4 linked regions of the Saccharomyces cerevisiae S288C genome follow. Changing the gene in region 4 together with the main gene of any one other region gives a genetic interaction. Each region holds a gene or a part of one and is shown on either strand. Other genes may lie near its edges. The genes, in order: UGA3, GCN20, RPS6B and DIT2.

The links.
Region 1: mutations in DIT2 (region 4) and UGA3 together harm fitness more than expected from each alone (negative genetic interaction), as found in Saccharomyces cerevisiae (2 studies listed by BioGRID).
Region 2: mutations in DIT2 (region 4) and GCN20 together harm fitness more than expected from each alone (negative genetic interaction), as found in Saccharomyces cerevisiae (2 studies listed by BioGRID).
Region 3: mutations in DIT2 (region 4) and RPS6B together harm fitness more than expected from each alone (negative genetic interaction), as found in Saccharomyces cerevisiae (3 studies listed by BioGRID).

The regions. Positions count from the first base shown.
Region 1 is NC_001136.10:154,770-159,323, reverse strand, and holds UGA3 (Uga3p), read right to left. Parts: upstream 3,007-4,554; coding exon 1,420-3,006; downstream 1-1,419. Other genes in the region: UGX2 (Ugx2p), read left to right, coding at 589-1,260; GLT1 (glutamate synthase (NADH)), read left to right, coding at 3,684-4,554. UniProt on the Saccharomyces cerevisiae protein: GABA-dependent positive regulation of genes required for catabolism of GABA (UGA4, UGA1, and UGA2).
Region 2 is NC_001138.5:156,399-165,246, reverse strand, and holds GCN20 (putative AAA family ATPase GCN20), read right to left. Parts: upstream 2,760-8,848; coding exon 501-2,759; downstream 1-500. Other genes in the region: ubiquitin-specific protease UBP6, read right to left, coding at 1-180; FAR7 (Far7p), read right to left, coding at 4,047-4,712; YFH7 (Yfh7p), read right to left, coding at 4,887-5,948; YFR006W (putative Xaa-Pro dipeptidase), read right to left, coding at 7,495-8,848. UniProt on the Saccharomyces cerevisiae protein: Acts as a positive activator of the GCN2 protein kinase activity in response to in response to low amino acid, carbon, or purine availability.
Region 3 is NC_001134.8:588,784-596,160, forward strand, and holds RPS6B (40S ribosomal protein eS6 RPS6B), read right to left. Parts: upstream 3,992-7,377; coding exon 3,986-3,991; intron 3,634-3,985; coding exon 2,929-3,633; downstream 1-2,928. Other genes in the region: FZO1 (mitofusin), read right to left, coding at 1-331; DTR1 (Dtr1p), read left to right, coding at 958-2,676; SMP1 (Smp1p), read right to left, coding at 4,723-6,081; YBR182C-A (uncharacterized protein), read right to left, coding at 6,578-6,772; YPC1 (phytoceramidase), read left to right, coding at 7,332-7,377.
Region 4 is NC_001136.10:1,270,077-1,278,008, forward strand, and holds DIT2 (putative cytochrome P450), read right to left. Parts: upstream 3,628-7,932; coding exon 2,158-3,627; downstream 1-2,157. Other genes in the region: HPT1 (hypoxanthine phosphoribosyltransferase), read left to right, coding at 1-657; URH1 (trifunctional uridine nucleosidase/nicotinamide riboside hydrolase/nicotinic acid riboside hydrolase), read left to right, coding at 987-2,009; DIT1 (Dit1p), read left to right, coding at 4,526-6,136; DNA-directed RNA polymerase II subunit RPB7, read right to left, coding at 6,578-7,093; mitochondrial 54S ribosomal protein uL23m MRP20, read left to right, coding at 7,570-7,932. UniProt on the Saccharomyces cerevisiae protein: Involved in spore wall maturation. Thought to catalyze the oxidation of tyrosine residues in the formation of LL-dityrosine a precursor of the spore wall.

The sequences.
Region 1 (4,554 bases), 1.1 Mb from region 4:
AAGCCATTCAAGGGAAGAAAATTAAAAGATGCTTTATTTTTATTTGTGGTAGAAAATAAAACTAGCCCCGTAAGTATTATATAGTGAATGTAAGAAAATAGGCCAACAAATTCTGACACTAAATACTATTAAGTGACTGCTGACTTTCGGTTGTCACCTAAGGGGTTCTTGAAGTAATTATGGATATTACGCAGAAAATAATCGCATTTATAAGCAACAACTGTCACGATTGACCTGATGCAAAGGAAATTAGGAATATATATGAGTGTAGAAGAAGATGGTAATATCCAAATTTTAAATTTTCCTTCTTACCGCCTTAAATCAATACCATGGATTAATCATTCAAATATATGCAGAATCATGTTAATGGTTCTTTTTGTCTTTTCTGTGATGCATATTCAGTAGTCTGTGATGAGCATCCCCCCACAAGAAGGGCAATTTGATGAAATTCTTACTAGCGCCGTTCGGAACGAGGTAAGGGCGCTTTTTAAAGGGAAAGAGCGTATCATTTGATAAGGATAAATTGAAATCAGTACCAGCGTTAAATGCAGATAGTTATATCGTGTTCATAACCGCTACTGAAGAGTCATGGAGGATAAGGAGAAACTTATTGTATACTCAAATACCAGTTCGGTATTTACATATAGTGCAGAAATAAGGCCAAATTTTAAAATATCTGTATCTCAAAGTCAAGGTTTTGCCTGGAACCAGGACTTATTCGCCACACAATACCAACAATCATATAAGGTGGTATATGATGCACACGAGGACAACTTTGATGAGTTAATTTTGAAGATCAAGGGCAAATTAAAGACAAAATCTAATAAAAGAGCTAAAATGAAGTCTAAGACTAAATTAACAAGGACTGCAAAGCAGAGAAGGGAAAGCCCCGTTTGTGAAAGGGACGAGAGTGACGAGGATAATGATAGTGATCACTACCAAAGAATACAAGTGCTAGATGGCCATGAATTTCCGAGAGCAAATCGGTATAAATCTGTATGGGCTCATGACGTCCACTCGAATGAAGATAGTACAAGCGACGGGGAAAGCAATCATGATATAGATATGATTGGCGGCACTGGCACGTCGTATGCAGGAGCAGCCATAATGGATAGGCCACGCAGGAAATCTGAGAGAAGCATAAGCTTTGTGGAGGACTCCAAGACAGGCGATTACAGGTATCAAACCGGGCAGGTGGATGTTGTAGAGGTGGACTCGGACACCCCTGAAAATAATCACCTAAAATGGTTAATTAAATAATTACTTCTATGTCTCAACGTTAGCATTTCTACATTGTATAGGTATAAATTGTTTTTGAATCCGTACGTCCTACAAAAAAAAAAAAGAACATATATATGTTTGTGTGGTGAAACAATAATTTAAGACACCCAGGGGGCGGGGAAAGAAAATATATGCTGCTCAGGCAAAATTAATATTGTAATCTAATTCGTCAATCATGTGGACCAGGTCATGCTCACTGATGCCATCAGCCTCGTTTTGCCAAATTTTCCGTATCAATAATCTAGCATTTTGGAAATTGTAACATTTATATCGTTTTAAAATGTCGTCAAATTTGGCTTCCAAATCTATTTTTTTCTCCATATCTTCTACCTGAATGCATACACCGTAAATGAAAAGTGGGAAGCATAACGATCCTTCCAAAAAAGTTCCGATGACCTTGTCTAGCTTCGAGTCCAATTTGTTTCTCAGTATCTGTAGTTCCAGCGAATCTTTGTCAATCTTTAATAAAGTTAATTGAAAGAACATTAAGGTAGAAATTTTCATTATCTCGAATAGTTCTAAATAGTAAAATTTCTTTTCATCATCCAAATGTTCCAGCGCCATAAGCGAAGGTTGTAATTTATAAATCTCGACTTGCAAACTCAAAATTTTATCGCCATGCTCTAGCATTTCTTCCTGTTCCATAGTCTGCAAAAACCTCGTCAAATTTGTGACTTGTCCCAATAGTAGTAAAATAGGCTTGTTGATGCCAATTAAAGGGTCTATTTCCTCAATTGGCGAGTCTATTGACTCAATAAAGTTGGCTGAGCTGGGTAAAGAGTTCTGATCCCTTTGGAAGAATTTCTCGTATTGTTCGATCGGGAAGGACGTTGTATTGAAATTCAAAATATCATGATATATAAAATTCACAATCAGCCAGTACTTAACAACGGAATTGAAATTGGGGAAGATTATCCTCTCCTCTAGGGAGGGTTCTTCTGTAGTAGTGGTTAGTATCCGTGAGACATCCTTGCCCACATGGTTTTCGATCAAATTTTTTCCTATATTCAATAATATCTTCCAAAATTTCACATCACCCTGACATATCTCTGAACCACATAAGATTAGGATTTGTGCTAGTGAATATAGAAACCCCAGTTTAGCACAGGCACTTGAGCCCTCGTTTGTCTTTAGATGCGATAACGACATGTATGTATACTTGTTCGCCAAGTTGACAAATATTTCATCCTTTCGCAGCTCATTTGATGATGATATAGACAAATGATTAGCTGACCAAGCAAGAATAGCAAACAATATACCATCATTCTCGTGGGCCATTGGCAAGAAAATGTTCAGATAGTAGTTCTGGTTCATGGGCGCGATGGAAATTATGTTTGCAAGGTGAGACCTGTAGTAGTTGTACAGCTGCAATCCCATAGAGTCCAGCTTCTGAGAAATGCAATCTTCCAGCGGTTTTGACAAATATACCTGGTTATCCTGTTCGTCGCTACCGACCCGTCGAGTACGGGTGGCCACGGCCGCTTTCTGAGCACTGTCAGGAGCATGCTTTCTTTTCTTGCTGATCAACTGGTGCTGTATATCTGCCTTTATTTTTTTCAAAGACTGCTTATCAACAGATTCTGATATATAGATACAGGGAAAACTTAATCGACGACAGTCCCGGCACACAGGTTTATCTTCAGAGCATCTCTTCTTTCTGATCTTGCAAGTAATACACCCATGCTTCGAATATTTCAATTTCAGCTTCTCCACGCCATAATTCATACCTCACTTTAAAAAACTTTGTTTTCTTGGCATCCATACATGAACAATAACAACAATTCTATATCATCTTAAGTAAGACTCTTATTGTAATTTCTTTTTCTTTGATGACTCAGACCCTGGTAGCCCTACCGTTCAACCCTATACAGCGCAAATTTGGTCCTAATACACTTCGGTTTTAATGCGTCAATCCGATTGGCTCCGATAAGCTTTTGCACATTTTTCAAGTCATATGTCACGACGAACGTGATGCCCGCAAAACGTAAAAAAAAGAAGCAATAAATTGCCCAAAAAAAAAATATAAACTGCTTTTCTTAGTCATTCATAAGTTCTGATGGTCTTCCTTATCTTATTGTATTTTTCGTCCTATTGTTTCATTTCTTACCAAATTAATCAATTCTTATATCTTACTTGATAACACACCAAACTAATCGTCTCCACATCATAGGAAGATAGGAAATTGCTATCTCAGTCCTATACTACGCAGACGGATACTCTCAGTTGCTCTTTCTTCCCCTTCTTTTAGCTCATTGAGGTAGTGATTAACGTTTAACTTATTTATTTATTTTTCTGCTTCAGTTTTTTTTTATTTATTTTTGTCTTTCTACTCTCTCTTTTTTCTTAATCTATTTGCCATTTATTTATTTTGAAGAACTAGAAAAAGAATTAGAAAAGAAAGCATGCCAGTGTTGAAATCAGACAATTTCGATCCATTGGAAGAAGCTTACGAAGGTGGGACAATTCAAAACTATAACGATGAACACCATCTTCATAAATCTTGGGCAAATGTGATTCCGGACAAACGAGGACTTTACGACCCTGATTATGAACATGACGCTTGTGGTGTCGGTTTCGTAGCAAATAAGCATGGTGAACAGTCTCACAAGATTGTTACTGACGCTAGATATCTTTTAGTGAATATGACACATCGTGGTGCCGTCTCATCTGATGGGAACGGTGACGGTGCCGGTATTCTGCTAGGTATTCCTCACGAATTTATGAAAAGAGAATTCAAGTTAGATCTTGATCTAGACATACCTGAGATGGGCAAATACGCCGTAGGTAACGTCTTCTTCAAGAAGAACGAAAAAAATAACAAGAAAAATTTAATTAAGTGTCAGAAGATTTTCGAGGATTTAGCTGCATCCTTCAACTTATCCGTATTAGGTTGGAGAAACGTCCCCGTAGATTCTACTATTTTAGGAGACGTTGCATTATCTCGTGAACCTACTATTCTACAGCCATTATTGGTTCCATTGTATGATGAAAAACAACCGGAGTTTAATGAAACTAAATTTAGAACTCAATTGTATCTTTTAAGGAAGGAGGCCTCTCTTCAAATAGGACTGGAAAACTGGTTCTATGTTTGTTCCCTAAACAATACCACCATTGTTTACAAGGGTCAATTGACGCCAGCTCAAGTGTATAACTACTATCCCGACTTGACTAATGCGCATTTCAAATCCCACATGGCGTTGGTCCATTCAAGATTTTCCACTAATACTTTCCCCTCTTGGGATAGAGCTCAACCTTTACGTTGGCTAGCTCATA
Region 2 (8,848 bases), on a different chromosome or scaffold from region 4:
TTTAATGGACTCTTCGCCAGACAAGCCACCTTTAACCATGTATTTTTGGCGGGCACTTGGGACTTGGGTCAATTCCTCTGCTTTGCTTTTCAAATCTGCTGAAGTAGCATCAGTGGAAAGTGTTATTGGGTAAACTTTACCAGAATGTCTAATATTGAACTCAAACGTTTCTCCGCTCATATTTTAACACAAGGATAGGTAGGGCTAATTTCCTTATTTTTATATCCTCTTAGAGAACGAAATCTCGTATTTCAATTGCACCAATTACTTGCAGTGGCAAAATTCGAAAAGCACTTCACCCTTCTTGTAGATTTTATGTTTTATATTAGCCACTACTTTTTTACGTAAAAAGTGATACATATACCAATGACCCAGAATGCCCAGTTAGGTCAATTAGATTCCAATACAAGTAGTCAAAAAAAAAAAGTATCATGGGGCTATGAATGCATACTTAATTTAGGCTTCTATGGAAAATATATTCTGAGGTGCTTCCTAAATAATCAATGCTTTTTAACCACACCTGCAGCATCAGCAGACTGCAAGATGTAATCTCTATAGTCGTAAATTGTACCTTCGAACCTCTTGACAGTACCTTGCTCTGAAACCCAAATCTCTTTACAAACAGAGTCAATAACAGAGATATCATGGGAAACCATTAAGACACCACCGTTGAAATTTTTCAAGGCTTCTACCAAAGCGTCTAGACCAGTGGTATCCAAATGGTTAGAAGGTTCATCCAGAACCAAAATGTGTGGATTATTTAAACACAATGCAGCGAATGCTACACGAGATTTTTGACCACCGGATAATAATTGCATCTTTTGTAGACCCAGGGTACCAGTGATACCAAATGAACCTAGATGACGTCTATACTCTTCATCAGTTTTACCTGGGAAGGATTTGGACATCCAGTCCACTGCAGACGTGGTCAAATCCATAGAATCCACATGATGTTGAGTGAAGTAGCCTATACGTAATCTTGGGTTTCTTGATACAAAGCCTTTTAGTGGTCTTAACTGCTCCATCATAATCTTCAACAGTGTAGTCTTACCACAACCATTGGCACCTACAAGGGCAATTCTGGAATCCATTTGAACGTCCAGGTTAACATCTTTCAATAATAGGTTGTTTTCATCATAACCAAAGGAAACGTCTTGCAATTGGATAATTGGTGGAGACAATTTATCACATTCAGGGAATTTGAAATCAATGGTTTTGTCTTGTTCAGGTGGCTCCAAAACGGGCAATTTTTCCAATTTCTTAATTCTTGATTGAGCTTCCTGTGATTTGGCAGCATTGTATCTGTATTTGTCAATAAACTCTTGCAAGTGCTTTCTGTAAACCATTTGGTTATCATACTCACGTTGAGCATTCTTTCTACGTTCCTCCTTTGTGGTGTAAAAGGTATCGAAATCTTGGCCTCTGTAATAGTCTAGTCTTTCGTTGTGTTGATAAATGATATCTGTAGCCACTTCATTCAAGAATGCACGGTCGTGAGAAACTGTCAAAACTGTATTTGGATATGTTTTCAAATACTCTGCTAAATAAGCGATGGATGGCACATCCAACATATTGGAAGGTTCATCTAACAACAAAAGATCTGGTTGACAGAATAAGGCTCTTGCCAAGGACAATCTCATTCTCCAACCACCGGAAAAGGAATTAGTGGGTTGTTGCTGTGCCTCCGTACTGAACCCCAAACCATATAAGATTGATGCTGCCCTAGCTTCAGCCTTGTCAGATTCCATATCGACTAATTTGTCAGAAATCTGTATCAAATGGTTATCCAAGTCTTCTCTTTCATTGTCCAATTTTTTAACTTCTAAACTGTCTTCTTCGAATTCCTGTCTTAATACATCCATTTCCTTTAATCTTTCATTGATCTTGGCTTCTTCACTTAATAGTTGTTTTCTCCAAACGTCTGCATCCAGCACACTTTGTAAAGCCTTTGTATCATCACCTCTTAACTCTTGTTCCACGTGTAAAATCGAAACATGTTTGGGGACGTTCAGCTCTCTTCTAGATAGAGCCCTTAACAAAGTAGATTTACCAATACCATTTTGGCCCACAAGACCATATCTGTGACCAAAACTTAGAGTCAATTGGGCGTTGGACAAAATTCTTTGACCGTCACCAACGTACAAGTCGAAAGTGTCAATATGGATATCCTTGGATTTACCAGCGGATGAACCGAATTCTAAAGGGTTGATTTGCAAAAAGAAAGAATCGTAATCCTCCTCCTTTTGGTCATTGATCAATTTAGAAGCCTCGTATTTAACAAATTTGTTATTTCTCTTGGCGACTTTCTTTGCGATCTTTTGTTCAGCCTTGGCCAGTTTTTTCAAATCAACTCTTGTTTCCATCTTTCTACCAGTATGTTCGATGTCACCGTTCACACCCAGCATGCTTAATGAGACGTTGATATCGGATTTACTGTTATGACTCTTTAAGACATTAATATCAAGTAATCTCTTGGACGTATCACCGGTCAATTCCAATTTGGCTTCGTTCTCCTTTAGTTGAGTAGTCAATTGCTTCAAAATACTTTCCGATAGTTCTTTAACTTTAGCCTTTGACGCACCCGCATCAATCAATAAATCGGACACAAATTGCACTTCAGTGGACAAATCTACCTGCTTACTTTGAACAGCATCAAAAGTTATTCCGGACAAGTGGTTAAAGTAGCCCACTGCGTAATCCGTGACGATAGGGTCAATACTAGAAGCAGCTTTTCTCACTTGCGAACCGATGCTTGCCATTTCAAAAAAGTTATTTACCTTTTGTGCTATGAATCGAAGTTAACGTTTTAGCGCTTCAAAACGACTAGTCTTAGCTAGCTTACTGCAGAATATATATTTCTCTTTTCAAATGTCTTTCATTTTCTACTAGATCTAATAATACGAAAAATTTTCAGGAACAAAAAAATAAAAATCAGAAAAAAAAGAAACTGCGCAAGCCCGGAATCGAACCGGGGGCCCAACGATGGCAACGTTGGATTTTACCACTAAACCACTTGCGCTTGTTTTCTTGTGAAAACTATCCTTGGATAAATCAATAATAATGTTTGTAACTTCTCTAACCAATTTGAGATGTAACGAATGATAATTAGTGTGTTGGAATAAAAATCCACTATCGTCTATCAACTAATAGTTATATTATCAATATATTATCATATACGGTGTAAAGATGATGACATAAGTTATGAGAAGCTGTCATCGAAGTTAGAGGAAGCTGAAGTGCAAGGATTGATAATGCAATAGGATAATGAAACATATAAAACGGAATGAGGAATAATCGTAATATTAGTATGTAGAAATATAGATTCCATTTCGAGGATTCCTATATCATCGAGGAGAACTTCTAGTATATCCTGTATACATAATATTATGGCCTTTATCAACAATGGAATCCCAACAATTATCTCAAAATTCGCCAAATAGTCAAGTATTATAGCCTTGATCAATAATGGGATCCAATAATTATTAAACTATTCACCCAATCTTCACAGATCTTCTAGTCAACGAGGGAAAATCCATATTTCTAAATAGTATTATTTATCCTTGCACTTCAACTTCCATTGAAGCTGATGATTGTTTCTTAATTTTCATGTTATCTTCTGGCAGCGTATATGAGATTATACTAATTATATGAAAATATATTAATAGTATAGATACTAATCGGTAAACGATAATCGACTCTCATCACAACAAAATGCTTTTGCAAATATTGAGGAAATTATATATGTTTATTAAACATATATATCCTGTGTATTTATAGAGGCTTTCCTCCAACATTTTATTATTTTTGGCAAATAATACAGTAGCTTAGGATATCTTACGCACGCAACTGCAGGAAAAGAACGTCAAGACATTCTGTGAGTTGTTTTCCCGCAAAATGTTCCACCGTCGTTACTTTTTCAATTTCATAAACATATATCAGAATGGAAAAAGCCTTCATAAATGAGCTTCGAATTTTTGCGCAATCTCGAATATAAGAAGCATGTATATTTGTCATCTTGCTTTCATTGGAAGCAAAAGGGCAAAGTTTCAATCTTGTGCATGTAACCTCAGTAGTAATCTATAAGTGTGAGATATATCTGTCAATTTTTGCAGACCATTAACATTTTCCAAATACATCTTGAACTCTTCATCTTCGAGGGGAATTGTCTCCGTCTGGAATTTCTGCCTAATCAATTTGATAGTCTCTTTATGATGCATTAGAATGTTTCCTCTTAATTGGGCGACAATGTAATTTAAAGAGTCTTCGGAGTAAGACAATAAATCCATGGATTCAAGGGTTACCTGCTTGGATTCCTGTAAACTTTTCCGGAGCATTGAATTTTGGCGCTTCAACACTCCTAGCATAACGTCATCTTTCGCATTTTCATCCAGATTGTTGCTTAGTTGCTCTTTCTCAGTAATAGGAGCTTTCCCTCTTTGTTCTAGAAATCTATTAAATAATGCAATATTTTCCGTGGTATCGTGAGGTTCTTCAGATGTCTCATACTTGTTTAAGCTTCCGGATAATATGTCTATGTTCCTTAGTATTTTCGCCTTTTCTGCTTGATTTTCCCTCAACTGTTTCACTAGCTTGTTAACTAACAAGTACATATGATTCAAGTTTTCTGCTTGAGGAGACATATATACTTGCTGCTGCTGCTGCTGCTGCTGTTGTTGTTGTTGCATTGACAAAACGTTGATTTGGTCACTCATATCTAAACCTTGGCTTGAACTTCTTGTAGAATCAATATGTATTACTTCCCATATATGTCGTAATAAAGGGCACCTCTGCAGAGTTCATAAAGAATGCCGTTTTTGCTTGCGCGCCTTAATTATCTGTATTCAGTTCGATTTTACAAAAATATATACAAGGTTCCGCCTAACCTTCTAGTCGTTGCGGATATGGACGATATTATCTACCTTAATTAAATGATTATCTATATCCCTGCCATTCAACAAATCATTGCTGCGAAACTTCTCTCGTCCTTCTGCAATAGTCGTGACTAACCCTGATTGCAAATGCCTTTTGGCCACCCTTTCTTCGGTGGCCTCATAGTCTATGTCAATCTTATAAACAAGAAGTGCTCCCGTATCAGCTAATGTTTTGTAAATTTTCTTCCAGTTTTCTTGGTCATACAGTAGGTATAACCCTTCAAGTATAACTATCCTTGTAAATTTGGAAATACAGTACTGATCTGGAGTTGGGTCTTTTAGTGCATGGTTAAATCCTGGAACAAAGATATCAGGAATTGTTTGGCTAAAAGTTTTGGATAACTTCTCAAAAACGCTTGAAGTGGAGTAAAATTTATGATGTGAGGAGACCTTACATAGGGACGTCTTGGCTAGAATTTTACACAATTGTAAGAAATTGTTACTGTCAAACGTTGAGGGCGAACCTCTTCTTTTATGGGCAGTTTGTGGGTCTTTGAATAGGTCTAGACATCTGCGAGATAAGTGAAAACCATCCATTGGGACTATTTGCGCTATATTGATACTATCCTGGGCCAACTTGTTAACATTGACTGGATTATCAACTGCTGCGATTCTTATGGCATTCGCAGTACCACCTCTGGCAACTACTGCGGTACATTCTTCATTATTTGATGTAAGGGCTGAGTACTTGACTGGTTGAAAATTAACATCCTCAACATGATCTTTAAACAGCCCCTGATTTTCAATCATTTCAGCTACTTTATTGGGCTGGAGCGTCTTTAAAGAGTCTACTAGGTTAACCATAGGTTTCAACCTATCATTAACCTCAATAACATTTGGATGCTCTGACAAAAATGTGTGATATTTTTCATTTATAATTTGACAAAGTTCTTCCGCAATAGTAGACTTACCGGAGCCTGGAGAACCGACTAGGATAACACAAACCCTATAATTATCTTCGATACGGTTATCCAATAGCTGAAGAACGTCGTCTGCTAGTTTATGCGTATCGACCATTGTGGCTAGAATGATCCTCTGGTATGATACAGGATAAAATATGTATAGTACTAGTGAAATTAACCTAACAAGGTTACTTCATTTTTCCCGAAGAGCAATACTTGATGATGCTTAAAGGTACGCATTTAATGAACGAAAAATAACACAGTTCGTTTGAGTAAAAAGAAAGCTCACAAAATTTAATACAGAAAAAAAATTATATGTAAACTGTGGACAAGTCTGATAAGCCCAGATAACCCTTCTATTTCACGAAGGTGCAAGTGCGATTGAAAAGAATTGTTTCATGGCATTAGCTATCAGGACACGAATGCATAATCGTCAAGATATTATCGGTATGCAGCAGTTGAAGTTGTTATTAATGTTATAAGGCACCATCATATGTGGCTTTGGGATGATCTTCCGCCGATTGGTGTTCATATTACAAAAATTTTATCACGCTCGAGGTTAGAAGATGGCATCAATTATGAGGCATGAATAACAAGGTTTAAGCACTAGTAATCATAGCGGATGCTGAAACGCCAAGGTTAATGAGTTCATAAGATTAACGAATAACGAGAACTTAGGTATGAGTCAAAATTTTACTTTCATAATAGATTTATCGAAAATGTGATCAATTTTCTGAATAATTTGATAACTGTTGGGATTGCATTGTTGATCAAGACCATAATATTATGTACACAGAATATGCTAGAAGTCTCCTCGAGGATGTAGGAATCCTCAAAATGGAATCGGTAGTTCTACATAATAATATTACGATTATTCCCCATTCCGTTTTATATGTTTCATTATGCTATTACATTATCAATCTTGCATTTCAGCTTCCATTAGGGTTGATAACTGTTTCTCAACTTTTATGTCATCTTCCTGAACCGCATATGATAATATGCCAATAACATGAATATTACCAAATGGATGGCATTTCAAATTATTACTTTAACAAAAAGGAACCAAATAACTCATATAATAATTACCTATTTCTCAAATAGGTGGACGACGGTTTATCCAATTCCAACAATAATAGTAATTACTAATATTATGTAGATTTTTCGATCCAAGTCCTCGAGGGCGACTCATAGGAATGCTATCTTCAATCAACAATGACATCCGAATAATTATCTCAAGTTTTACAACATTCTCAAATATTATGGTAAAAAGAAAACTTTGCAATCTGCAAAATTCTCGAATTCTGAATCGCTAGATTTCCTTATGAGAAAAGTCACATTTAAAGGTGTTAGCAGCTAGTTATTATAGTCCTATAGTTCCTGTAACAATGAATTTTTCATAAATAGAAGCGGATTTAGCTCAGTTGGGAGAGCGCCAGACTGAAGAAAAAACTTCGGTCAAGTTATCTGGAGGTCCTGTGTTCGATCCACAGAATTCGCATTCATTTTTTGCTCTTCGGGGTTGGTCCTTAATTTTTTCAGTGCCATTCCTTATATTTCCAAATCTAGTTAAATGGTGAATCCAAGATTATAAAAAAAATATACAATTCTGTGTACAAAAGAATATACTAAACTTCTAGAAGCGAGTAAAAAAAAGTTAATACCTAAACGATTACGTGGAAACCTGAACGGGGTTTCTTCAAACCTTTTTGAACGATTTTTTCAATTTCATCAGGGTCAGAAGTAATACCAGTTAAGTTCTCGTAACCATCTTTGGTAACAAGGATATCATCTTCAATTCTAACACCACCGACATACATGTATCTTTTCAATACGCTCATATCGACAACTTCCAATCTTTCGGGGTGCTTTTCCAAAAATTCTTTGATCAAAAATTGATTAAAGTAGCAACCTGGTTCATTAGTGATAACCATATTTTCTTTCAAAGGACGGCGGATTCTTAAATATCTAAACATTGGATCTGGGTCGTCATAGTTTGGATTACCACCAACGTCGTGTACATCAAGCCCCAACATATGCCCTAGTCCATGGGGATAAAAAGCGCAAGAAGCTCTTCTTTTAAAGATTTCGTCCTCAGAAAACTCTTTCTTGAAAATACCCATACTTAAGAAATGTTTAATAAGAACCTTGTGTGTCAGTGCATGTAAATCGTCCCATTTAGCACCAGGTTTAATCCTTTCCATTGCTTGGTTTTGCATGTCAAGAACGGTTTCGTAAACTTCACGATGTTCCGCAGTAAACTTGCCTGAAGTTGGGAAACATCTGGTGATATCACTTGTATATTGTCTCCATTCTGCACCTGCATCAATTAAGATGGAATGTTTACCTTTGATATCTTCTGAATTCTTGACGTAATGTAAAGTGCCACATGCCGGTCCAGAACAACAAATGGGGTCATAGCCCAAAGAACGACCACCTTGACGGGTTGCATGGTATTCAAATTCAGCTTGTATTTGTAACTCGTTCAGTTCGATGGGCAACGCGGACATAACGGCCAAATGGCTCTTGTCTGAAATCTGACAAGCTTTTCTGATGCTTTCAATTTCATACCAATCCTTAATTGCTCTAGTTTCATCCATAGCATAAAAGAAGTTAGGGTCTGAAGGAATTAGTGATCTTGCAATATTCTCGTCATGAACATTGTCCAAATCGGTTGTAAAGATAGCGAAGTCTTGCAATTCTTTAAATTTTTTCCCCAGATCAGATATGTACAAGGCCTCATCAATGTCAAACACTCTCATTGCCTCATCCAAACTCAAAGGCATACCGCTCCATATGACATCTTCTTCATCGATGTTTGGCAAAAACAATGTCAGCTTATCTGTGCTACAGTTAAACAATATCGCCGAAGCAGGTATATCAACACCTGACAAATGATAAAAATATCTATTCTGTCTAAAATCTTTGTTGGTGTCACAATACTTGTTTCCCTCTAATTCTTCACCAGCAATAAAAAATGCTGTGGATATCTTTGATAGCTTCGGATTGCGATTTAAC
Region 3 (7,377 bases), on a different chromosome or scaffold from region 4:
CCATAAAAGCTTGTGTCTTTAATATAGATCTTTTTAAAAGTACTCTATTGTTGTTATAATTCCACTGGCTAAGTTGTGAAGAAATTAAGTGTGCTTTTGAGTTGGAGGAACGCAATGAGGGCAACAAATCATCCTCCCTACGCCCCTCTTCACCATCAAACAAAGTGGTACGGTCATCAGTTACTCCATGGAAATTACTGCCTAAAAAATGACCTTCGTTGCGTGAGTAAGTAAGAGTTTGTGGTACTATTGTGGCGGCATCATCGTCCTGATCTGTGGAGTCCTTGTGCGGTTTATTGCTGTCTTTGAATTGTTGTTTTCCTTCAGACATCGTTAAATGAGCCTACCGTTTTGCCTCTATCCGTGATATCAGATAATGTTGCTATGTTCGGATGTACTTTGCTTTATTTATTAAGGGCTACTGTAACCTGCGTTATCCTGTTTCAATAATGCATCGTCCGTCTTAATTAATATTAGCCCGGCCATATTCTTCAGCATGAAAAGCTGTATTTACCCGGACTGCGCACCAACTTTTAAATATTAATCTCCGTTCGGTCTTTGCGCGAGTTATTATACTAGCGCCACGTATTAGTAATACTATAGCTATCTTGCCAGATAAGGGATCACAAGGAATTATATACCGTGGATCACAACTATCCATATCACTCTTCCCAATTTCGCGGAGAAATACTTATGCAGGTTTCCAAATCATTTCCGTAGCCAAAGCTGCCTGTTGGCCACTGTTTTGGCATCTCTCTACATTTTTTTTTTTCATTGATACTTTCAACCCAGACATTCTGTCACCTGGTGAAAAACGACACAAACTCCTTTGTAACAACAATTGCAATTTTAAGATATATGAGAATATTGATAAGGCTAGAAGGATGGTAGTAAGAAAAGTTGTTGTTGGTAATTTTTCAAAAAAGAGTTTCAAGAGCTGGGAAAAGAATTAAGGCAATGGGAAGCGAACCGTTTCAGAAAAAGAATTTGGGTCTGCAAATTAATTCGCAAGAAAGTGGAACAACCCGCTCAACATTTCATTCGCTAGAAGATCTAGGAGATGATGTAATTAATGAAAGCTGGGATCAGGTGAACCAAAAGAGAGCCAATATAGATCATGATGTCTTTCATGAGCACCCTGACTCTTCCCCATCATTGTCAGCACAGAAAGCAAAAACAAAAGAAGAGGAAGTTGCTGTAAAGTCATCGAACTCCCAGTCAAGAGACCCTTCTCCTGATACTCAAGCACATATTCCATATACTTATTTTTCCAAGGATCAAAGACTAATCATTTTTGGAATTATCATTTTTATAGGATTTTTGGGCCCAATGTCTGGAAACATATATATACCGGCTTTACCATTGCTGCAAAGGGAATATGATGTAAGTGCAACAACAATAAACGCTACAGTTTCTGTATTTATGGCTGTTTTTTCCGTTGGTCCATTGTTTTGGGGCGCACTGGCGGATTTTGGTGGAAGGAAATTCTTATATATGGTGTCGTTATCACTAATGTTAATTGTTAATATACTTTTGGCCGCTGTACCAGTCAATATTGCTGCCCTTTTTGTTTTAAGAATTTTCCAAGCTTTCGCTTCCAGCTCTGTGATTTCTCTGGGAGCTGGCACTGTAACAGACGTTGTTCCTCCAAAACACAGGGGAAAGGCCATAGCGTATTTCATGATGGGTCCAAACATGGGTCCTATTATAGCACCCATTGTTGCTGGGCTTATTTTAATGAAAGGAAATTACTGGAGATGGCTTTTTGGTTTCACTTCTATCATGACAGGAATAGCATTGATCTTGGTTACTGCTTTACTTCCAGAAACGCTACGTTGTATAGTTGGTAATGGAGACCCTAAATGGGGTGACAAAAAAGATGAACGTGAAAATAACGAATCTCCATTCTTCGAAGGTAATAAAATATCACATCGGCGTCTGTTCCCAGACATTGGTATCCGTAAACCAGTCAATAATGATGCTTTCTTCCAAGAAAATTTTCCAAAGCCGCCTAAAGCAGGTTTGACACTATATTGGAAAATGATTAAATGTCCTCCAATAATAATCACGTCCGTCAGTACTGCACTCCTGTTCTCCAGTTACTATGCGTTCAGCGTCACGTTTTCGTATTACCTTGAACATGACTACCGTTTTACTATGTTAGAAATTGGTGCTGCTTATGTCTGCCCAGGTGTAGCTATGTTACTAGGATCTCAATCTGGTGGGCACCTCTCAGATTATCTTCGTTCACGCTGGATCAAAAGTCATCCTAAAAAGAAATTCCCGGCAGAGTTTCGTTTATTACTGAACCTAATTGGAATTTTACTAACAATATGTGGCACAATAGGATACGGATGGGCAATCTTCTTTCATTATCATTTTGTGGTTCTTTTAGTTTTTTCCGCTCTCACTGCCTTTGGTATGACCTGGTGCAGCAACACATCAATGACATATTTAACTGAGTTATTCCCCAAAAGAGCTGCTGGAACTGTTGCTGTTAGTAGTTTCTTTCGAAATGTGGGCGCTGCCATTAGTTCCGCTATCATTTTACAGCTCTGTAACGCAATGGGAATTGGATGGTGTTTTACAGGGCTCGGTCTCTGCAGTTCAATTTCATTGATTGGTATATTATATCTTCTCATTTTTCAAAGAAAATATACTGCCAAAGAATTTTAAGAAATAGTTTATGTTTAGCTATAAAATTTAACTTTTAGAATTTTATTATATTATTTAACTTTCAAGAAAATTTTCTCATCACTCATCCCAAGGACTTCAAGAAATAGAACAATGCATCATAAGTTTATGAATTACGTGCATTTGGACCTTCAAAGAATAAAATCGAAGTTATAGTTAATTATATTAAATTAAGCCAAAAGTACATATATCTAAAAGGAAAAAGTATAAAAATTATGCAGGTCCAAGACATACTTAAGCCTTCAAAGAAGAAGCTCTTCTCTTTCTGATTTCGGCCTTTTCAGCCTTTCTTTCAGACAATCTCTTAGCCAACAATTGAGCGTATTCGGCAGCAGCTTCTCTTTGAGCTTGAGCGTTTCTGACCTTCAAAGCTCTTTGGTGTCTCTTTCTTTGCAATCTTTGAGGAGTAACCAATCTTTGGATCTTTGGAGCCTTGGTGTAAGTCTTTTCACCCTTGGTGACTTCTCTTCTGATGACGAAATCACGAACGTCATCTTCCTTGGACAAACCGAAGAACTTTCTGATGTTGTTAGCTCTCTTTGGACCCAATCTCTTTGGAACAGTAGTGTCAGTTAGACCTTCCAATTCTTGTTCACCCTTCTTGACAATGACCAAAGCCAAGACAGCCAAATCTGGACCAACAATGGCACCTCTGACGGACTTTCTCTTTCTTTCACCATCACGTCTTGGTCTGTAACAAGAAACGTTCTTGGTCAACAACAACTTGATTCTAGTTGGCAACAAAACACCTTGCTTCATTGGGAAACCTTGTTTGTCGTTACCACCAGAGATCTTGAAGACGTAGCCCTTGAATTCATCACCAACGGCTTCACCATCGACTTCTTGACCGATTCTCTTGTCGAAGAAAACACGAATACGGTGTTCATCATCAATTTCGAAGGTCTTTTGAGACCCGTTGACTGGGTAAGAAATGTTCAACTGTTATAAATAATACCATTTGTTAGTAAAGTTGTCCGAAGCCAATATCGACAAATTCCAACGAATCCCTGCTGTCCTTTCTTCCGTTACAGGTTTTTCTTATTTTCATTGATATTTCTAAACCCTTTTCGTAAATTCCTTTTTCATTCCTTAATTTGAACTTAGCGAGATATTTTCCTAAGTGTCGGTACGTGTATATTAGAGGGAATTATCTCGTTTAAACAACGTTGTTCTTGAGAATTTTTATTATAGTGCACTAATTTGTGGGTATACGTTTATCAAACAGTCAGAAACAGCCGGTTAGCGCGTGCTGATTCATTAGAATTCTAAGGATTTGGGTGATATTACATACCTTCATGATGGCTCAGTCGTCTATTCACACTGGATAGTTTCAATTAATGACTTCCAAATGTTTTGAAGGGCACACTATTCAAATTAAGATCACTTTTCATAAAGATGAATTTTTCTCCCATCAGGCATTCATTGACCGTGCCCTACAAACCAAGCCAGCCGAGATTGTATCAGCTCCACGCACATAGGATTTTCGCCTGCCCTTGGCCCATACCGAAAGAGTTTCCTAGGATGATGGGCCGGCATGAAGATAAGCGGCCTGTATGCCCGAGACACTGAAAAAAAACAGCAAAAAAATAAGATGTATGGAGTTCAAAGATGTATGGATGCAAGAAAAGAGGTTAATGGTGCAAACTGTAGAAAAAAAAGTAAGGAAATAATTTATTTTTAATAAAATTAACTGAAAAGATACATGTATATTTTTCTCAAATTAATCAATGCAATATGTGATATATTTGCTATCTGGCTTAATGAGATAATTTTTTACATAATTATGTTGAGAAGTTAACAGGGCAGTCTCTATTGTTTTGATCGATTGAGTGCACAAAAATTGGAAGGGGGCCGTGGAGCACTACCTGCAAATTGCTAGAAATTTGCGTCACTACATCTGAAAAATGTACGAGCGACATAATTGTCTATAGCCCTAATTTAGAAGACGTTTGCCTAAATGCGCCAACATACACTCTTAATTTTAAGCGAATGCTTTCTTGTAGTAAAAAGTAGCTAGAAAGCGATTCATTAATCTGGAGAGTTTGTCGAACTCGTGGATTTCAAAGTTGAACTAGCTACCGAGGAAGGAAAAACCACAATAGATGAAGACGGGCTTTTCGGAAATTTAGGCGGTCTTCCAATTGGCGGTTTCAGAAAGAATGTTTTGTTATTTACATAAGTGCTGCCACATCGGCCATTATGATATAAGTCGTCCATATCATTGTTCTTGAATCCCAAAAACTTTGAACGAGAAAGAGGGGAGGACATGTTGCTGGCGAGCATTTGATTGGGAGTGGCTTGTACATCCGTTTTCGGTGATGCGGTTCCTGAATACATTGCTGGCGACCTCTGGCAAGCGTCATTTGTGGCCTTCGGAATATTTAGCTTTAAATATGGCTTCCCTGAGAGCTTTCCTCTATTGCTGTTCAGTTGGTGCAGGTGATGGACCATCGCCTGCACTGGAGCTGGACCTTCCAAAGTATTTGATATAGCAACTGTCGGGTGTATCTTTTGCTTTGCTTCAAAGCTCTCGCTGTCACCCGTCCCATTAAATCCTTTTCCCATTGGGTTACTATTTGCCGGAATAACCTGTACAAATTGCGATTGAAAGGATGGAATATTGCCCACTAAACTTGCAGGCAATGAAGGCTTTGGCAAATTCTCGTAAGGCGACGGGTAAAAATTATGATAATTAGAGTGGTTAGATTCAGAAAGTAGTAAATGAGTATCCGGCCTAATCCTCTTGTTCATAAAATTCCTATGAATAGCCTCGTTTGCAACATGCTGTTGGTCTACGCTTTCTTTATAATCATTAGCATGAAAACTCCCACCAGAATTTAAACCGCCTTGCAACATTTGATAATCTGCACTATTTCTTGCACAGTCAGAATGATTGGATCCGCTACGTGATATTGCTCCGTGGCAATGCACCAATGGTGTACTTACACCAGCGTTCCCGGCGTCATTTGACGCCAACGGAGCGCTTAAATTCCCATTGTTTTGTACACTGGAGGAATCTTGACTCGAAACTGTACAACTCCCAGAATGGGAAGCTGGTTGCAACACGGTTGCTCTTCTTCGCCTGCGCTTCCTTTCATTCAGAACAACACGTGGTTTTTTCACATAGTCACCATAATCAGATGGTTCTATGATATTATGAGGAAGATCAGTGTTGTTTTGATGAACATTAAGCAGGTTACTCATATCAACAGAAGAGTATTCGTAGAATGTATTATTGGATCCTAAAATAATGACAGCAATGTCTACTTGGCAAAGTACTGACAATTCATGAGCCTTTTTAAATAGTCCTGCTTTTCGCTTTATGAAAGTAACTGTACGATTTCTATCATCTTTGATAGGTTCAATTTCAATTTTTCTTCTACCCATTTAGCAGAAATTTTTTTGAAAATAATTGTGTTTGCTTATCTAGAGCTTTATTAAATTTTTTTCTGATGAGATAGGCCTGCTCGAAAAAATAGTCTGTCTTTGAATTTGGCTCGTATATTTCTCCCTTCGAATGAATGATAAAGAAAGACTCAAAGGAATGATGTAGTGTTATATAGATTGGCTAAAATAATTTGGCAAAAGAAAGATGGATAAGGATAGTTCATGTTTTTGAGTCCTTCACGAACATAGGAAGCCGGGTATGCGTGGAGATTTAAGTTTTGCCAAGCCTCCAATTACTCGAGCGAGATTATTTTTGCAGAAGAAACAAAGACGCCGCTTGTTACTAAAAAAAGAAGGCAACAATAATGCAAAAAGTTCGAACCAACTGTACCTCAAGCCGTTTTGTAAGCCACTATCATCGGGAACGGTACAGGTAGAATGATAGATGAAATTTACGTAAGCGTTAATGGAAAACAATAACGATGTGGTGTAAAAGCTAGTGCGTAGTGTGAGTGCCACTAGTTTTCTTTGACAGCTTAAGAGCAAGCTTTTGGAGCTCACAATCAAGTGAAACAAGAATTATGTTCATTTTCTCCTTCGGAACTGCAGAATAAAAATTCTTTATACTATAAACACCGCCATTATCAAAAAAGTATTGCTGAATCATGGTATACAGCGTGAAAATCTTCATGGCATTTCTACAAATTCTTTTTAGTTAGTATCGCCAACCATTAACCTTTTTAGTAATGCTGACGTTAAACGAAGGCGAAAAAAAATACTTGGCAACACCATCGTTTATATTTTTTTCAAATGGAAGTGTCGGCCGACGTAGCATAGCAGGAAAGATTCAAAGGCAAGGGTTTCACATAACGTTACCCTTCTGACCACGCCCCTTCTTTCGATCCCACTAGTGCGGACGGATTATCACGCAAGTTTTTTAACGCGAGACATCGGAAAATATTTATGCCGATTAGATCCGGCCCCTGAAACTTTTTGTTTGATACTTTCAAACGCACTACTCTACCCCATGACATAAAAAATATCTGTCTCCGGTTATATATGTCTAAATAGAATTCGGGTAGCATTTTATTTTTATCGCTTATAGGAAAAAGATATTTGCATATATATATCTATATATCCTATATACATCTATATAGTTATTGTGTAAGGGGTTTTTATAAGGTCCGATACTTACAGAGATTAATTTGTAAATAAAAGCAGAAATCTTTATTTAAGAAAATAGAAGATTGATGGGAATATTTCGTTGGAACTATCCAGAGAGTTCTGTCCCCGGCG
Region 4 (7,932 bases):
AACGATAAGCAATACATCTCGTACAACAACGTACATCAACTATGTCAAGTATCCGCTGAGAGAATTAAGAATTTCAAGCCGGACTTAATCATTGCCATTGGTGGTGGTGGTTTCATTCCTGCTAGGATCCTACGTACGTTCCTAAAGGAGCCCGGCGTGCCAACCATCAGAATTTTTGCTATTATTTTGTCTTTGTACGAAGATTTGAACAGTGTAGGCTCAGAAGTTGAGGAAGTTGGTGTTAAGGTTAGCAGAACACAATGGATTGATTACGAGCAATGTAAATTAGATCTAGTCGGCAAGAACGTTCTTATCGTTGACGAAGTCGATGACACCCGTACCACACTTCATTACGCTTTGAGTGAATTGGAAAAGGATGCAGCTGAACAGGCAAAGGCTAAAGGTATCGATACTGAAAAGTCTCCAGAGATGAAAACAAACTTCGGGATTTTTGTTCTACACGATAAGCAAAAACCAAAGAAAGCAGATTTGCCTGCCGAAATGTTGAATGACAAGAACCGTTATTTTGCAGCTAAAACTGTTCCAGACAAGTGGTATGCATATCCATGGGAATCTACTGACATTGTTTTCCATACTAGAATGGCTATTGAACAGGGCAATGACATCTTTATTCCTGAGCAGGAACACAAGCAATGATAGACATATCATATCCTTCAGTAACTTGAATCATACAGCAGAATTTGTACAATAGACAACGCATATAACTGCGACCATATGTATACGTATAACTAATTATTATCTCAAAGTTTATTCCCTTAGCCTCACCGGTAACCTGTGAGGCGCGATTACGTTTTCCCTCTGTTCACCACCACGTAACGCGATATTTGACACATACGTGACAACTACTTTTGATGGAATCTGCTGATTTTTTTACCTCACGAAACTTATTAAAACAGATAATTTCCCTCATCTGCAAGGTTGGGGAAGGGTTGGACAGCAATAACCAGCGACTGTTTGAAGAAAAGATGACTGTTAGTAAAATACCCATATGGCTAGATTGTGATCCTGGTCATGATGATGCCATAGCCATTTTATTAGGCTGTTTCCATCCAGCTTTCAATCTTCTAGGAATCAGCACGTGTTTTGGTAACGCACCGCCAGAGAATACTGACTACAACGCCCGTTCTCTTTTGACTGCGATGGGCAAAGCACAAGCGATTCCAGTTTATAAAGGCGCACAGAGACCTTGGAAAAGGGAACCTCATTATGCTCCTGACATTCATGGTATATCAGGTTTAGACGGCACTTCTTTGCTACCTAAGCCAACATTTGAGGCAAGAACTGATAAAACGTATATTGAGGCCATTGAAGAGGCGATTCTAGCTAACAATGGAGAGATATCCTTTGTGTCTACTGGTGCACTTACCACATTAGCAACAGTTTTTAGGTGTAAACCATACCTAAAAAAATCTGTCAAATATATTAGCATTATGGGGGGTGGACTCCATGGTCTAGGAAACTGTAACCCAAATCTTTCTGCTGAATTCAACGTTTGGATTGATCCTGACGCAGCGAATTACATATTCCGTGATCCCGATGTAAAGGACAAATGTATAGTAGTTCCTCTAAATTTAACTCACAAGGCCATAGCTACTTACAAGGTTAACGAAATGATATACAACGAAAAGAATAACAGCAAGTTACGAGAATTGTTTTTGGAGCTTTTTCAATTTTTTGCTCATACCTACAAGGATATGCAAGGATTTGAATCGGGCCCACCTATACATGATCCGGTAGCTTTGATGCCGCTTTTGGAATTTTATGGGTGGGATCCATCGTCTGCGGTTGGATTTCGCTACAAGAGAATGGACATATCCTGCATTGATGATGTTTTCAACGAAAACTCAGGGAAAATTATCATTGAAAAAGAATATCCAAATGACAGTGATGTTGGTACAATAATTGGTCTCGATTTGAATATCCAGTACTTTTGGGATCAGATTTTTGAAGCATTAAATAGAGCAGACAAAATGTCAACGATTGGATAAGAACTTCTATAAAAGGCTTTTTTTTTTTCTACTGACCTTTGGTCAGGTTCTGTTCCTTTCATTTTCACTGGATACAAAGAAGTTTCACTAAAAGTTGTCGCGATTGTATACATATATGCGTATATATACAATTCTACATGTTTTATATTTATTCCATTATATTCTCGTTAAATTTTAACTTTAAATTAAGAGGGCAAAGAGGCCCAGCGGGAGTTAATTTTTCTTCCCATTCAGGGTCAAGACTCCATCGAAACTGTTTCAACATTTCAGCCAAAGAAATTCTCATTTCTGTTAGGGCTAGTTTTTCCCCTAGGCATGCTCTTCGGCCTCCATGGAACCCAGTCACAGCACATCTGTTTTTCGCCATTCTCCAGTTTTTCCTTATGGTTTCGATATCTGAACCCCATCTTTCTGGTTTAAAATCATCTGCTGTTGTGCCCCAAGTTTTGGGATCGTGTGAGGTTCCAAAGTTGTTGTACCCGACATATACGCCCTTGGGTATAACAATTTCCGCCCCCAACTTGCACGTTTTGGTAGTACATCTATTAATAATTGTGCTCAAAGGAGGATACATTCTTACTACTTCGAAGAGAAAAGCATTTAATAAGGGTAAATCTGCTAAGCCTTTTGGATCAGTGATGCCGTTTACTTCCTTCCTGAGTTTCTCTTGCCATTCATTTGAATATTTGGCTAGAAGGTAGAGTGAACTATTAAATAGCAACTGCGGGTTTTCATGGCCAGCGACAAGGATAATGACGATATTATCGGTCAACTGTTTGTAGTCGATTATTTCGTTATTGTGAGCACGAATTAGATCACTGGCAGCAAAAGTAGTTTGTTCAAATTTGTAATTATTGACTAATTCATCTTGAACTCTTTTAACGAGAAGTTCTCTAAAACTAACAACATCCTTGAAGGCTTTTTTTCTTGAAGGAATAGGAAGAACATCAAGGAATGGAAAAGTTAAAAAGAATGGATGAAATATTTGCTTTTTAATACGAATCAAATGCTCGTGGAAAGCATTTTTTTCATGTGTTAGAGCACCAAAATCAAATCCAAGGGCAACCTGTGAAATGTTATCCAATGCCATTCTCTGGGATAAAGGTCCCATAGGGATCGAAGTTTGTCCTTCTAGGAGTCTGTTTTTTATCAAAGTGCATAAAATTTTTGCATTTTTGAATATAGGTGCATCGTCAAAATGTTGGAGCCCGTTTGTCACAGCATTTCTGTAGTTTCTCCAAACTGCACCATACGCGCTAATGACATTGTCCCCTGTGTAAGCGGCAAGAGCACTGTATGGGATTTTCTTTTGATTACCGCTCTTCGCAAAAGTATCTTCATCTTTGAATATTTGTGCTAGATACTCAGAACGAGAAACGAGAATATTCCACCGTGAACCAAAGAAAAATTTTACAGCACCGTATTTTTCCATTGATTCCCTAATATAAAGATCGTATAGCTCCGTTTGATCAATGGGAAATATTACTGGTAAAAATACTACATAAAATGGGATGGTGGGTATATTTTTGGGAAAGTTTAGAGGTGGGACAATGATTGCAAAGGCGACATAGGAAAGAGTAAGAAATAAAATCAAACACAGAAGCTTTAACAACTCCATTTTTAATGCTTTTTTCGATTTATTCTCTTAGTCTGAATCAAATACCATTTTGAAAAAACGAAAATATTTCAAGAAAATTAATGTATTTTTTTGCACTACCTAATATACTATTCGCATCAGGATGACCAGTCATTCCTCTTGTGGTCCGTGGCTTGTAATTTTCGGGAAAGATAGAAATCACTGCATTCATCGAAAGAAGTGAAAATAAATTGTATCGGGGAAGTAATGAGGGGTGGAATACGTAATTGCTTCTCAATTTGATAATACAAGTTACAGTCTTTTTATTGAGAGTCCCTGGAAGGAAAATTATTGATGTTTACCTTTTTTTGCGACGCGCGTCTGGCCATAAATAAAAGGGTTCTCTTGCCAAGAAAAAATAAAAAGGCGCCTTAAGGGACCTTCTATGACAAATATGGTGAGGTATGCAACCTCAATGAAGAGCAATGAGAAAATTTAAGGGGTAAGTAAGCATCGGAATTTGTTGTTTCCTAACAATTTGTCTAATTTACTCAATAATATCAGGAGAATTGATCGAAAAAAGCAAACCAGGAACCCCTCACAAATAAGGGAACATAAAGTAATTGCTCGTCTTTACATACATGGCACTCAATCCCAGACGTCGCGTGCTAAAAATCCTTATATTATTGGCCCCTCAGGAGTTTATTTGAATTTTGATTGCATTGCTTTCAGTGGACAGTATATCATAAAATTTGCAAGGGCATAGTGCCTGCCCTACGATGTTGTAAAACAATTTCTGAAAATAGGTTCAGAATCAAAAATGATGTATAAATATTGAAATAAATTTTCACATAAATTGTGCTCCTCCGCAAAGTCTTGACTAAATAAACAATTTGTTAATATCCTAATTCGGTAAAGCTTTGTCGAGACATTAACAAAAATGACATTTACTAGCAACTTGCCCTCAAGCTCCGAGCAGTCAATATCACCACCTGCCTCTTCATTTTCTTCATCGACTGATACGTTGAAAGATATTGATATTCCCCATAATGGGGCCGATTTGTCTACATATAGTAAATTTCTGGCCCTGTATTGCAGAAGCGACAAATGTGACGATTTTTACTCTTTAGAGGAAAAACAGAATTGTAAATTTGGAGACCAATGGCTCGACTTTATCAACACTATTCACAATCTGGACTTTTCTGAATCCGAAGTAAGTGGACGGGTTTCTGAAAGAATTTTGCCAGCTTCTTTAGCAAATAAATTTACCAATAATTTAGGAGTGGCAATAAAGATTTCTGAATATACACGCGATGACGAACGCCAGATTCGTGGGTGTGTTACAACAGTTGAGAATGAAAATTCTTTCAATAACTGGTTCGTATATCATATTTTAGACCAATCTCAATTATCTCTAAGTGAACATCCAATTGTAACCAAAGAAGTTAAGTATCACGAATTATTTGCAGATTTTTTTGAGAAAAATTTGAAAAACACAATAGTTAATGATCAATGGAATTTTGGTGGCCGTGATTATTTTATTGAACGTTCAAGATATTTTACCGATCGATATTTGAGAATTGAATGCATCTTGCCAGCGTTTCCATGTAAGTCATCTAATGAGCAAAAAGTGTACGGTTCCGTTCCTGACAAAGGCGAAGAACTCGCTTTGAAAAGATTAATAAAAGCCACACAAGACCTTGTCAAGATATATCCACCGGGTATGAAAATTTGGATAGTTAGTGATGGCCATGTTTTCTCCGATTGTATTGGGGTCGATGATGACGTCGTGAGTACTTACACGACCAAATTGCACGAACTGTATAAAAGAGTGGCTATACCTGGTGTTGACGCCATTGGCTTTTGTGGATTGAACGATTTATTTTTTAGCGGTGCAGCTAGTAAAGTTTTCGATCCAAAGTGGGTTAGTGATGTTGAAGTTGCACACTACACAGGAACTCAAATCTGTCCTAAGTCCGATTTGTCGAGACAGATTTTGATGAAAGGCTGTGATACAGATGCAGGTCGTTTGAGAAAGCAGATTGCAATAGAAGGACATCCAAGATTGCATCTGTATAGGGGCTTTTCACGTTTTATGATGGAAGATTTATCTCTACTGGAACATTTCCAAAGTTATTCCAGAAAAAAATTCAAGAAAATCATTTCAATGATCGCTTTTAACATGATTAAGAGAAATGACGCGTATTCGAACTTAGTGGAATTGATATTCCCTCATCATTTGAGAATTTCTATTCATGCGCACACTAACAGCGGGCCCAAATTTGGTATAAAAGTAATCTCCAACGAACAGTGTTCTATTGTTAGTTCGTTAGAAGACCTTGATGAACCCAAATTTGAAGATTTTTTACATATTCCCACACCTTGGCATAATTGTGTCGTGAAGGTTGAGGATGAAAAGGAGAAATACTTTTTGACAAAATCAAAAGTAGTCAAGGAGGCTCTCGAAAAGGGTATGTATGATGGTGTATGGAAAGATACTCGTTTCGATATTGGAGAAGGAGGACATTTCGTTATCAAGAAAATCTCTTAATAAAGTAAGAGCGCTACATTGGTCTACCTTTTTGTTCTTTTACTTAAACATTAGTTAGTTCGTTTTCTTTTTCTCATTTTTTTATGTTTCCCCCCCAAAGTTCTGATTTTATAATATTTTATTTCACACAATTCCATTTAACAGAGGGGGAATAGATTCTTTAGCTTAGAAAATTAGTGATCAATATATATTTGCCTTTCTTTTCATCTTTTCAGTGATATTAATGGTTTCGAGACACTGCAATGGCCCTAGTTGTCTAAGAGGATAGATGTTACTGTCAAAGATGATATTTTGAATTTCAATTGACGTAATTAATGATACTATTAATAATACAGAGCGTATATGAAGTATTGCAAATAACATGCACAGTTCTTTTGGGATGAGAATGATAATGAAAGGCGAAGGCGGGCGTTCAGAAAAGCGTTGCGGAGTAACAAGTGATTAAATAGCACCCAAATAATCTTCTTTGATACTACCGATTGCGTGAATAGAACTCACTTGACTGATACAACCTTCAATTTTAACTCTAATTCTACTTTTTATGGTGATGACATCCTCGGAACTTTGGTATGATGGTGGGTTTGAACCCGCATTAAAGGTTAAATCTTGAGGCATCAGATGCTTTGTCACAAATACTTTCATTGGACCTACTTGCACTTCGAACCCGTGCTGAGAACATGAAACGACTGTGCCGTCCACTACTTCCCCTTTAAATGGTTTGAAAACTACAGCTCTATATTTCACGTTGAACTCGGCGGACCCATCTGTGGGCAATATTCTCCCACGTTGAATATCTATATTATCATAGTCTAGGACACAAAGAATATATCCGAATTTACCCGTACACGAACCTTCAACCTCTTCCAATAGTTTTGTCTTTAGATATTGCTTCATTCGAGGACCGAAAAAGGACGGATGAAGGGTAATATTAAGCGAAAGGTCTTTAATAAAAAACATTCTCAGAAATTGAGTTATTTATACAGTGGTTGAAATGTGAATCTATTCTTGGACTTTCCCACTGTCTAATCGCAAAGGAGAATGGTGTAGGAGGAGAAACGGAAAAAGAAAGGCTATGATATTCTGGGAGAAGAGATAGGTGGACAGACCTGATCGACCCAATGTTAGAGAATAAATCGACGAAGTGAGCTTGTCTACGTTATTGGCATTTTCACTGGGATATAGGAATACCGCATTTATTTTCCTTGTATTTTTCAAAATAGCCGTTGAAACCCACAGAAGATCACTTAATACGTAATCGCGTTATACGAATTTTCTCGATGAAAAAGGGAAAACGATGGTATTAGAACTTGAAATGTACATACATTTCTTGTGGAGAACGTAACGCTACTAACAAATAATGTGCTTTGATTAGCAGGCTCCAACAGAAAAAAAAATAAAATAAAAATAAAAAGTACGCAACACCAACACAGAATATGCCACGATTGACGGTTGGAACGAAGAATATGTTGTATCCTTTGCAAAAAACACTTGCAGTAGGAAGTTGCAAGCCAGAGCAGGTTCCAATAAGATCACTAGCCTCAGTGGTGGAGAGTTCCTCCAAAATACTCGACAAAAGCGGCAGCGATCGCGAAGTAGATATAAACGTAAGCGAGAAGATTTATAAGTGGACAAAGGCGGGCATAGAGCAGGGAAAGGAGCATTTCAAAGTTGGAGGTAACAAAGTCTACTTTCCCAAGGCCAGGATCATCCTCTTGAGGCCCAACGCGAAGCACACACCGTATCAAGCAAAATTCATCGTCCCAAAATCGTTCAACAAACTGGATCTCAGAGACTAT